2 linked regions of the Drosophila melanogaster genome follow. The protein of the gene in region 1 interacts with the protein of each later gene in a pairwise test. Each region holds a gene or a part of one and is shown in the gene's direction. Other genes may lie near its edges.

The links. Proteins that work in one complex are often made in the same cells at the same time.
Region 2: the proteins of CG13373 (region 1) and Sox21b interact in a two-hybrid assay, tested with the Drosophila melanogaster proteins (one large-scale study listed by BioGRID).

Annotation. Positions count from the first base shown.
Region 1 is NC_004354.4:474,078-480,442, forward strand, and holds CG13373 (uncharacterized protein), read left to right. Parts: upstream 1-2,906; 5' UTR 2,907-3,069; coding exon 3,070-3,214; exon of another isoform or gene 3,215-3,529; coding exon 3,530-3,854; exon of another isoform or gene 3,855-3,935; coding exon 3,936-3,999; 3' UTR 4,000-4,114; downstream 4,115-6,365. Other genes in the region: ebo (ellipsoid body open), read right to left, coding at 1-123, 233-429, 621-1,003, 1,081-1,236, 1,692-2,215, 2,317-2,319; CG32817 (uncharacterized protein), read left to right, coding at 5,567-5,868, 5,953-6,016.
Region 2 is NT_037436.4:14,126,925-14,132,848, reverse strand, and holds the start of Sox21b (Sox21b), read left to right. Parts: upstream 1-1,524; 5' UTR 1,525-1,711; exon of another isoform or gene 1,712-2,291; intron 2,292-5,924.

The DNA of each region.
Region 1 (6,365 bases):
CTGTGGCCGTGACCAGTGGTTATAGACCTGTGCGAAAACGATGTGTGCACCTCTGGTGTTGGCCAGTAGGGCCAGGGACTCGAAGCATTGGTCTAGAAACTGCTGCCACTCAGTGGCGGAGGTCTGAAATTGGATGAATGTCTAGATAAAATGAAGATCGTTCTAATGCAAGGTCTATTTCTTGGTTTTTGAAATTTGTCACCTAAAAACACTTTAAATCAGAGCTACTTACATCGTCCTCCATGAGCTCGTTGTCCAGCACTTCTAGCTCGGGTTTGTTGGCCTCAAACTGAGTGCGCCTCATAATCTCATCTACTAGCTGGGTAAGCACATTGTTATAACGCGTGATTTTGGCGGGGTGCTGGGCAATGCCTTTGATGATGGGTGTCCAGATCTCAAGCTTTTCGGTGAAGTCCAAGGCGCCGTGTACTGTTTGGGGAATACAAAATTAATAACTTTTGTTATATATCTTTGTCAACGACATTTCGAAATCTCGATCACGAGATGCACATAACCCATTTAATATTGCGAGTGTTTTATGACTACACAGCAAAAAGATCATCTCAAAATAAAAAATAAGTTAGCATCTCAAAAGGCAATATTTTTATCACGCGACTCACATTCAGTGGTGCAGCTGTATAGCAGATTGAGAAAGGTCTCCAGCAGGTCTGGCTCCTGCATCAGCTTGGCGGCATACTTGGTGGTGTAGAGGCGCAGCAGCTCCCGAAACTTGTCGCTGTACATCTCGCTCTGCCGCCGATTGTTATTGTGCTGCTCCAGGAGGCTGGTAACGCCGCCCATCAAGGGTCCTGGGAAGGGCAGTGGCTTCTGGAGGTAGAGGAGCTCATTCAACACAGAGAGAGCCGCCAAGGAGATGGGCTCATGGGCTGGTCGCCACTGGGAAAGGTCAAGTATGCTCATAAGGAAGTACTCCGAGATCAGTTCAGTGCGTATCCAGGAGACCAAGTGCTGCACACATCCTAGCAGGTCCAAAATTGAGGAACTGCGGAGTATATAGAGAGATGTTATAACAAAATGTTGTAATGAACATATGCTCTTTTGAATGTTATGATGACCCACCTTAATTGATTGTCATTTGGCAGCGCTGAGGTTAGACTAAAGTCCATGAGGGTGTTTGGTATGGTTGTTTGGATGTCTTTGCCATTGATGTGGCATACAGCGATTAGCAGATACTTGGTTACCAGGTCCAGAACATCGGGTACACACATGGAGATGCTACAGAAACACACGGCAAAAGGGAGCACAAAATGGGTTAGGAACAGTGCTGTGGCAACTGACCAGTAATTATAGTGCTTTCTCTCAACAAAGCAATATAATATGATAACTGGGTTAACGGTTCAATTAGTTGAGTTTTAAGAGGTCAGCTGACTTTAGTTGTTATGCCATATACATACTCAATCTCAATATAACACTTATTAATAAACCAAAAACAAGAACGGACTGACAAGGTCTGGGATTGTGTTATTCTATGTTGTGCGACGCAATCGTGTATTTAAACAAATAACACCAAAGTTAATAATAAAAATACGCTATGCTCGAAAACATCGACCATCTGATACGCCGTACTCAGTTAAAAATCCAAGTAGTCTTAAACAGACATTAAAAGTATGGGACTACAAAACCTTTTTTAAAAAACATACGATTTTAGCCTCTTCGCTCTATTTACCCACCAGGAGTAGAAGTACTGCTTCCATTCGGTGGTCAGGTCGCCCCTGTTGCTTACCACCTCCTCGGAGGTGATCTTAAGCAGGTTGATGCCAAGTTGAAACCGTGTTTTTGTCAGTTCCATGCAGTGTTGCATGTAATTGGGGTCCTGTTCAGGGAACTCCCTCTTTCCGAGTAGGGCTATCAACTGGGCCAGTGTGTCCCTGTGCCGTTTGGCCACATTTGGAGTGGCTACCAGTTGGGCATACGAGTTCCAAAGGGTCTCCCGCAGCAAAGTCTTGTCCGTGGACGTCAACTGTGTCCATCTCCGCGTGATTGTGTGCTCCAAGGTTGAGGTGCTGAAGAACCAGAGGAACTGATTCTCCGTGGTGTCGGAAGAGGTGGCCACACGGAGGCAAAGTTGCCACGCCTCTGGCTGGGACTTGAAGGCCAAGAGGTTTGTCTCGATCTCTCGTTTCCGGGCATTGGAGGTGCTGGGCTGATAAAACTCCTGCAGCAGTCCCTCCACCGTCGTCAAAGATGCGGCGTGCTGCACAGACAGTGGGTGGGTGGAAACCAATTCCCGGTTAGGTGGAATCACTCTGAATCACTGGCAAAATAGTGCGTTTGGCCCGGAGCCCCCCGCCTCACCATTTTCCGTGTCCTTTACGATCCTTCCGAGTATCTGTGATCTGGATGTTACGGTCACTGTGAGCTCCGCTTGCTCGCGGTTCTAATTCCGATCGCATCAGCAGTCGGCGTCCATTAATTGCATGGTTTTCTTTGTGTCTTTACACAAAAGGTGGCCAAAATCTACTCCGGGAAAGTGAACAAATTCCGCACGGCTGGCAACCCTGGCCGATAGTCAATAAATATCGATAGTTGTTGGTTATGGGTATTTTGAAATAAAAAAATTCTACCTTTCTTATTTTAATTACCTAAAACAAAATTTTTTTTAAATAAAATTGGCTATATAAATGTTTCAGCTAAAACTACGAGCGAGCAGACAAGCATCCAATTCAAATCCATAGTTATACAAATATATATATATATATATATATATATATATTATACAAATGTAATAAATTTTATATTTTCAGTCATTTTAATCTGATAAATTAAAAATGCTGGACTATTCCAAACAGCTCATAACCAGAAACATTTTGAATTTTCCGCCTAACCGCAAATTCGATCGATAGACGATAAAAAAATTGATCGCAGTCGGCGCTTTTGTATGTATTTTTTAATATGGTAGCACTATTCTAATAAGGCAATATTGTTAGCAAAACGGGACACTGATTAACTGTTAGCCTGCAAGTTAGGAAACCTGAAAGTAAAGGATTTTCAATTGATATTTCAAGACGTTCCTATCCGATCTGCCCAACAATCTGCCAGTATCTCATCATGGAAAACCAGGTCCGTAAAAAGGCGGCAAAACGATCGCGATCAGCGGATGGCGACGCCAACAACAATCTCACGCAGCGGAAGGTATTTGTGAACCAGAAAATGTGCGACTCCCGTGATCCTCGGAAGATGAAGGAGGTCCATGGTATGTAAATTGCCTTATTCGCACCAACTTATCTTGTTTCGATCCTGTAATGGAGGGGTGGGAGATTGGAGAGATAGCGCCGCTCAGAGCGCAGTTATCCCGGACTTGTTGCTCACTTCAGTTTGAACAGTTAGACGCGAGAACAAAAAATTGAGCAAAGCAGCGACCTCTAATTTACGATGAATTTACGCATAAATTTTTTTTTTTAATTTTTTTCTTGCTGTTCTTTTGCACGTCCCATCGAAGCTGAGTGTCTAACCCTCCTTTAAGTGTCTAACTCAACTGGAACTCTCCGATTTTCTATTTCTTTCGCAGAGAAGACAATCAAAATGCTTTTCGATGGCGCAGCCGGCAATAGGCAGGGTCAGGGCCAGAATGCCCTGAAGCCATTGGTACAAGGCCAGGAGGAGCCCGCCCTATGCGAGCAGTACTATCTGCTTGGCGATGGTTCCATCGTTCTGCGCAACCTTCGCACCGACTTGTCCAATCCGCGCCTGGAGAGAGTGAAATCGCGCTGCTGCCAGCGCCAAACGCTCATCCACGACATATGCGTCAACTGCGTGATGGATCTCTGCGAGGAGTGTGGCTACTCCTGCGGCGAGTGCTCCAGGTTCATTTGCCGCAGCTGCGTGACTTTATTGTGAGTTAAGTCCTTAAAAGAAGCATCCCCCTTGGGAACACCTTTTATTTGAAAATCAATCGACCATCATCTTATTTCCAGTGGTAATCGAGTTGAAGAAGAGAAGGATCCCCTGTGCGAGCACTGCCAGATGTTCTTCAGCTAAGGCTTTACACAATCCAGCACTTATAAAGTCGCGGTGCTTGTTAAATTTTAAGTTCTGAAGCAGTACAAATTTGGGACGACACAATGTCAAATGTATTACCAACCAGCTCCGTTTCACTTATGTCCTGTAACTGCTTTCTTTCCGGCCGATAGCCTGGATGAGATCCTGGCACAGGAGACTGGGCTGGGCTGCTCGGTCTGACATCAGGTTACTGTGTTCTTTTAACAGCACAATCAGGTTGTCTGTGAGTGCATTATACAGATCCACAAATAGCTGCCAACTGCCGCCGTGGCTGATCAAGTACTTGATGTCTACATCCAACATGCTGCCAAGAAGGCAATCCAGGGACTCTCCTGTGAGAGGGACCGTACGATTCCCGGCCAGATTGCGCTGGGCCTCTAGGAGTCATAGGGCATGACCAGAATATGCCAAGTCTTTGGGTTCCGGTTGAAATGGTCATTAAGGATCTAAAGAGAACATTATTAACTAGGGAAGGAGAATAAGGTACTGGGGAAGACTCACCGCTCCCTTCACGCTGCTCAACGAGCATTTGGCAAAGAGCCAAAAGAGTTAGCACATTCTGGAGCGCCGTGTGCTGCGTTTGCGACGCAGGGCGTGCCATTTGCTCCTCTTGTGAGGAAAGACGGCGCAGGAGCAGTAGGAAATCCTCGTTAGTCTTAAAGACAATGATCAGATATGTCGGAAGCATTCATCTATCCCTAGTTCGTCTAGGCATGGAGTTTTTAAGGTCAGATGCAGCCCCACAAAAGGACGAACAGTTTGCGAATTGTACTCTTCTTACAGCTTTTCAGGCCCCTGAGAGCGTCGAATCTTAGTCCGATCCTTATTATCCTTGCGAAATTCAACGCGCCAAGCATTCGAATAGAAGCTTGGTGCTGGACCGCAGGGCATCCTGGAGTAGCTCAGAGCTGAGACCATGGGCAGACAATCTTGAACAGAAATGGCCGACCCCCGCAGACCACGAAAGATGAAGAGGGTCCTTGGTATGGAAAGCATTGTCCCACTTGCACCAACTCACCTACTCTCCTTCCTGTAATGGAGCGGGTGGGAGATCGGAGAGACAGCGCCGCTCAGAGTGCAGTTATGTCGGGCTTGTTGTTGCTCAATGCAAAGATGAGTTCAGTTTAAACCGTTAAACACGAGAACAAAAAATGGAGCAAAGCAGCGACCACAAATTTACGAGGATAACCCCACGAAGAGATTGGCAATAAACTGCTACAGTGTTCAGAAATTCGCAATTGCAAGTAAGAATCGATTGGAAACTAATCGATTTTGTGATTTACTGATTTTGGCATTTTGAATAGGGTCAAGTCAGCTTGTTTCCCGCGATCGGTCTCACTATTTTACTGTCATTGCAATTTGGAAATTTTAAGGGTTCTGATTGCACTTCTCGCTGACCTCAAACAAATCAAGTAAATATTCTTTTTTTTTTGCTGTTATATGTCACGTTCCATCGAAGCTGATGGAAGAGCGGCGTCCTTGAGGTGTCTAACCCTGAACTGGAAATCTCCGTTTTGCTATTTATTTTGCAGAGAAGACAATCAAAATGCTTTTCGATGGCGCAACCGGCAATGGGCACGGTCAGGGCCAGAATACCCTGAATCCATTGGGGCCAGGCCAGGAGGAGCCCGCCCTATGCGAGCAGTACTATCTGCTGGGCGATGGTTCCATCATTCTGCGCAACCATTCCATCGACTTGTCGAATCCGCCCCTGAAATCGCGCTGCTGCCAGCTCCCAACACTCATCCACGACATATGCGTCAACTGCGTGATGGATCTCTGCGAGGAGTGTGGCTACTCCTGCGGCGAGTGCGCCAAGTTTATTTGCCGCAACTGCGTGACTTTATTGTGAGTTAAGTCCCAGAAGGAAGAAGCATCCCCCTAGGGAAACCCGTTAGTTTAAAAATCAATCGACCATCATCTTATTTCCAGTGGTAATCGAATTGAAGAAGAGGAGGCTCCGCTGTGCGAGCACTGCCAGATGTTCCTCAGCTAGGGCATCAAACAATCAAGCAAATGTCAAATGTATTACGTTTTAAAGAATATAGAGCTATATAGTATTTAACATTAAGCAAAAATCTTTGATCTATTCTTTGGAATGCTAGAAAACTTAAATCATGACCTTGAGTTGGCCAATGGCGTTTCCTTAACGTAAAACACACCTTTTCGAACAGCGTCGTGGGCCTTTCGGTTGCTACCATTTGGCGAATGGTGAAGATAAGCAGGAAGGGTGCGACTTTTCACGGCCAGTGCCTGCGTGGCGCGCACTGTGGCCATTACAGTGGCCAGTTTCAGACCCAAGTCCGCCAAACCATCCACCTCCGTTTCACTTATGTCCTGTGTCA
Region 2 (5,924 bases), on another chromosome or scaffold:
TTATAGCAGGTACACACTGTTTGCATTTGTCATTAGTTCGTTGTTAATTAAAACGAAGCCAAAGTGCCAGACGACAGAACTCGACACGACAGAGTGAATGGAAATCAAAATGCGCTAAAAACCGCCCTGAAACAATGGCAACACCTGCGTAATGCCCTGGCCCACCCAAAACCCTTTACACAAAAAGTCCTGGAACAAAGCCCGACCAAATGCGAATGGAGTTGGGACTCCGGAGTTACGAGCCGTTGTCCTGGCAACGCCACCACCACCAAAGCAAATTAACAAAACAATAATGTAGACACGAAAAATTGCAAAGCAATAGTAGGCACTTTGCAGGACTATATACTCCTAAAGTCCAGGTGTCATCATGCACAGATATAAAAAAATTAATTTTGGAAATGGTATTTCATGTGGGTCAAAACACTCAATCGTTAATTGTCATTCCAGTACAGAACGTGTTTTTTAGATCAAAATGTAGTACTATGTGCGAATCTACAACAGACACTACTTTAATCTTTGTCTGAGCCAAAGATAAAGTGTCCCAAAGTGGTCTGTCTGGACCAATTTTGGACTATGGCCACCTTGGTTAACATATCCACCATTTTGAGCTTGGGAATTGGCCAAAGGCGAATCGTAGTTGCGGGCCAGATGTCAGGCTCAGATCTCCACGGTTCAGCTCGATTCAAAAATAAATGTCCATTAAGATTAGTTGATTTTGCTTTCGATAGTTTGTTTTTCACCTTTTTTTTATTTTTTGGACGCTCTTTGCTGGTCTCTAAGCAAATGCGGTAAATAATCGAGAAACTCCCGAAAAGCTCACTCCCAATGGTGGCACCTCTTACCAGTAAAGAGACCGTCGTAGACCCCCACTTTACCCCCATTTTCCACTTGGCATTTCATGTAACACGAAACCTTCCCCAACCAGAAGCATTCCAATTGGAAACGCCCATCATGAGACTCGTTGTTTAGAGTGAAATGGCTATGGTGGCTTAGTAGCTACTCCGTTTATCTCGCTCGCACTCCCACGCAACACCTGCTCTGGTTGACCGCCCTGCCTCTGCATTCTGCATCCCTTTCTGTCTGACATTTTTTATCTCTGTTGCTCTCGTCTTTTTTTTCCTGACGTCGCAGTTCTTGGATTTTTTTTTATTCTTTCCTTCACGAAATGTCACCTGGTCGTTGGGCCTCTCTCTCACCAATACAACGATATTTTTGCTCTCAATTTTGAATTTGTTGTGGATGTAGTTTCTTTATAAACAGGCTTATAAAAAACATTTAACAAACCAATAAGAAAGAAAGCTCTCGGAAAAAGTATTAATCCAGAGCGAGAGAGAACACAAGCTTTTGCAGAGAGGATTTGCTGAGTATGTGTGTGTGTGCTTCTGTGGAGCGATACTGTTACATAGCAGCTGTCTCACCGCCCCACCTGCCACGCCCCCCGCCCCATTCGGTGACTGAAAGACTCGTTTTTTGGCTCGTGTGTTTTTGAAGAGAGCGCGCGCCAAGTTTTTAGTTACGCGTCGGAACGGATCCGTTGAATAGCCGCCAAAGCGCGCTTAGATGCAGCAACAGCCAACTTGGCCAAGAAGAGCCGATCAGCCAACAGCTAGCGACGGTTTTAGCCCCCTCACAAGAAACGCCAAGAAACAACCGATATTCGCAAAAAAAAAATACAAAGGATAATACTAAAAACATAAACAAACTGTTCTCGGTAAATATCCCAAAGTAAAAGTGAATCCTAAACAAACCAAACTTTTCTTTCCCATTTAACTAAATAATAAAACACAAACCAATTCAAAAAACAGTGCTCATATGATATCAACTTTCAACGCTCGTAAAGTGCTCATAGAAATGAAACAAAATACAAATCCAAATAAAGCAAAGCGATTTAAAAGTCTCATAAAGTTTTGAAATCCTAAGCTACTTATTTATCTTGCAAACTTCAAATCAAACAAGCTCCATTCTTTGTAGCATCAAAACATTGGATGCACCATAAGTATCTTATCGATGAATGGAAAGCAAACAACACACGTCAACATAAACTAGTGATATCCATTGGAAAAGTGTTCGTCAAACAGATTCTGTTACGAAACAGCTCAAGACCATAAAAGTCAACAAATTCAACATTTTATGGCAGTTCGGAAAGTGGAATTCATAAGCGACAAAAACAAACCATAAACACATATTATCCAAATAATTCGGTAGTATATTCCGCATATATGCTGCCATCGAATATTTGATTCCAATCGCCGGAAAACGGGAAATTTAAAGGAAATGCAGAACTCTTCGAGGTAACTTCATTGAAGCCAAAACATTATGGATTCTTTAGTTAGTTGTTTAACTTAGCTGCTTTGATTTTAATTAGCAAAACTACATATAAACACATTTACTTACATTTTTTTAGTAAAAGTAAAATATGATCTATGATAAAGTCTGATCCCATAGAACTGAGCATAAGTCTTAAAATTGTTTTCCAAGTTAATTGAAATTACTTCAAGTCAGAAAGCAGGTAAAAAATCAATTAAAAATCCCTTTAACCCTTTACAAATTTCATTTAATTCACCGCCGTTCAGAACGCAATTTGAACAACTTTTCTTGACCATCAATTAGGTAAACACGGAGAGAGCTCCACATAATGAGTCTGAGTGCGTCAGATACAAGGGGAATCAACAGATTTTATTGTTTGGATAATTTCAGGATTTTCCTCTTTTCATTTTCTGCGAAATCATTGTCGGAATCTTTATGCCCCACTCGAGGTGTGTTTACTTTTGCTTTCGATCTTCCACTTGAATTAAAGCAAGCTCGTTTTCTTTCTCTGAGGGGCATTCAAAGTTGTTTGGTTAACTTAATTTCGAAATATAAATGAAAACCGACTCAAGGTATGTGAAAAGCCGCAATGAAAAGAGAGTCAAAAGCACCAGAGAATTTGAAATGACGCAATTAGAGCAAATAATAGTAAAAGAAATAGGGAAAAACAACGTATGTTTATTAATATATTTACACAAAATGTGACAACAATTGAATTTAATGTGACGCGCCCCCATCATATAGAAATCGACTTTGGACCAGCACACAAAAAACCCAATTGTGCAAACAGAGTTTTCTGAAATTATTTTGCGCACCAGATGTCAATCGAATATTTTTACGCCATTCTTTTGGCCATTGTGTTCGCTTTATAAATTTGCTCAAAAAAACAGGCATAATCCAAAGAAGAGTATGAAAAAATTCTAATTAATACCCGGCTGTATCAGCACACATATGGTTAGCTGACTTTGTATCGGTTCTTTTTCTTTTCGATAGCCCTTTGGATAGCCCTTGGCACAAACTTGACACTAAACCTTGGAGGAGCAGGGTATGTGGTTATCGAGACACTGGCACGTTTACGAGGCGATTGTTGCGAGTGTGAAAGTTCTTAATTACAAACATTAGGGGGCCCAGCGACTTAGGGCCCTGAGAAGATCCGATCGCAGCGGGCGGGCAAGACGACACTTTTGAATGGAGGGTCTGCTGGGACCGAAAACCCGGTGCGTATCCGCGATACATTTCAACACAAAGTGGAGACACTTAAAGCTCTACCTGTGTTGAAGACGAGGTGGAAGACTGCAGACCGCGAGACTCCTCTTCGCCGCTAAAGAATGAGCAGAAGAATATGGCTGGGGGAGAGATCTCGGGCTCAGCATGTGGCTAAGCCGATCATAATTCTTGTTTGACATACCAACAAACGGATGAACAAATGAACGCGAAGCAGCAACAACACGGCCAACTTGGTCGGGGGTTACGAGTGGATCTATATGGCCCCCGAAACTCAAGTGGCCAGCGGGTTAATTTTACTCCTACTGCGATACGATACGAAGTCCGAAACAGAAGAACGGCTTCAGCACTCGATTTCCATGAGAAAGAGTCGGACATAAGGTGCCTCTGGTGGGTTATCTATTAAGGCTACTAGATTAACACCCTGAGAAGACCCACGCTTTTGGGTTTAACGGTTACATTTCCGTTACAAATAAATATCGGAGCTGCATTTCGGTCTGCGTGGAGGTGCAGCGAATCAAAAGGAGGAGCTGGCATATTCACAGCAAATAAAAATATCTGGAGTGCAATTTGTGCACAGCTGGTGGTGCAACCGTCGATTCGGATGGTGGCCCTGTGGTGCAACTGATACTGCAACTGCGACACTGCACCACATCGGAACAAGTGTTATGTCCACATAGTCATTTTCGGTTTTATTGCCATTTCAATTACTAGAATAATCACAAAATTAAATTAGTTCGAAAATAAAAATCCAAACATAAATGCAACTTCATATCAATTGATATATGCGTAGTGTTTTCAAAATATGAAATTTAGCGTATACCTTGAGTGGAGGCACAAATAAACATAATCAATTCATTTTTCTCAGTGTATTCTGCCAATTCGCAACATAAAAAGGAGGAGCAAAAATATGGAGAGCAACTTGACAACACAGAAATTTGTTTGCACTCCATAAGGATTACAAATATGCGTGTCCCTTTGCTAACCGCTCCCCGTTCCCAGCTCCCCCTTTTCTTTTAATATAAATTTCATGCTTAATACGCATGCTTGGGCAATTTTTACTTTAACACCAAGTGGTAATGCCCGGAAGCAGTACAGATGTCGCCTCGCATAGCCCAACGCAAGTTATTGACCACGATGCGTTGCATGGCCAGAAATGCCAATGAACAGGGCCAAAAAGAGAGACTGCGGAATATGGCAGCAGAGAAAAAACAGTCGAATTGGACAGATAAAGATAAATAGTTTCGAACCACAGTTGGCCACTTCATAAACCCAAGGATATTCCAAAATTATTGAGTACACGTAACGATCCAGAAATAGTTTTATGTTTTAGATTTATGAGTCTCAACAACTTTTTAGTAGCTTTTTATCTACTATAGGCTGTAAATCCTAAAAAATTATATTTTCTAAATAATTTAATAAGTCTTTAGCTTTAATAAAAGCAAGCAACTAATAGTTTATCTTGTACAAGCCCTATTATACATATACATTTTGCAATACGTACAATATGGGATCGCACTTACCTCCTTAAGTAAACAAAGAATGCTAAATGTATGCTACTTAAATAATTTCTTGGTGATTATTTTAAGAAGCTTAGCTATTTATAAAACAGATGATTTAAACATAAAGATCAAGAAATGTGTCAACGGCATTGTTTCTTTTGAAAATATTACCACGTTTTAGTGATACAAAATATTTGAATTATCCCAACTGAAAACAACAACCACTTTATTTATCTTTTAATAAGAACGCTTAAGTGTCCTCCCTAATTAAAATGATTAGCAATGATCATGATTATTCAGATGTAATACTGATAAACTTTAACTAGAAAGTGAATTAACCTGATAAGTTTTTACATGAATTTTAAAGGAATCCAATTCAATTCATACTGCAAGCAGTCCACTTTAATTAGCTGACTAGCCACTCAGATATAATTATATTATGAATTATTCCCGTTTGCGTTCGCCAACAACTCGCAGTCGTTTCCCTCCCCTACGCCTTGTGACCCCTCAATGCTCATTGGGGCATTGTTAATCAATTAACTAATTGATTTCAGCTCTTAAAAGTATGTCGTCTGAGGCCCATTCTTCGGGGACAAAAAGAAAACAATGCCGAGTGGAGTCGTGGACTTTTGGGCCAAAAAACCCACTTGCGAGCCGCGCTGGCGGTTGCCACCTCAACTCGTCCAGAATCGGACTCACTCCTTTTCAGCGCCCATTGTGTGGGCCAAATGTCAACCCTTAAAACCGACCGGGATGCACAATAACACAACAACAAATGAGACGACTACGACGACGTCGTCGTCCATCCTTTCCATTATGCGACGGGGCACTTGAAACCCATTTCTTTCCCATTTTACATTTTTGTGTACTCTATTTGCACCCGAGCCGCTT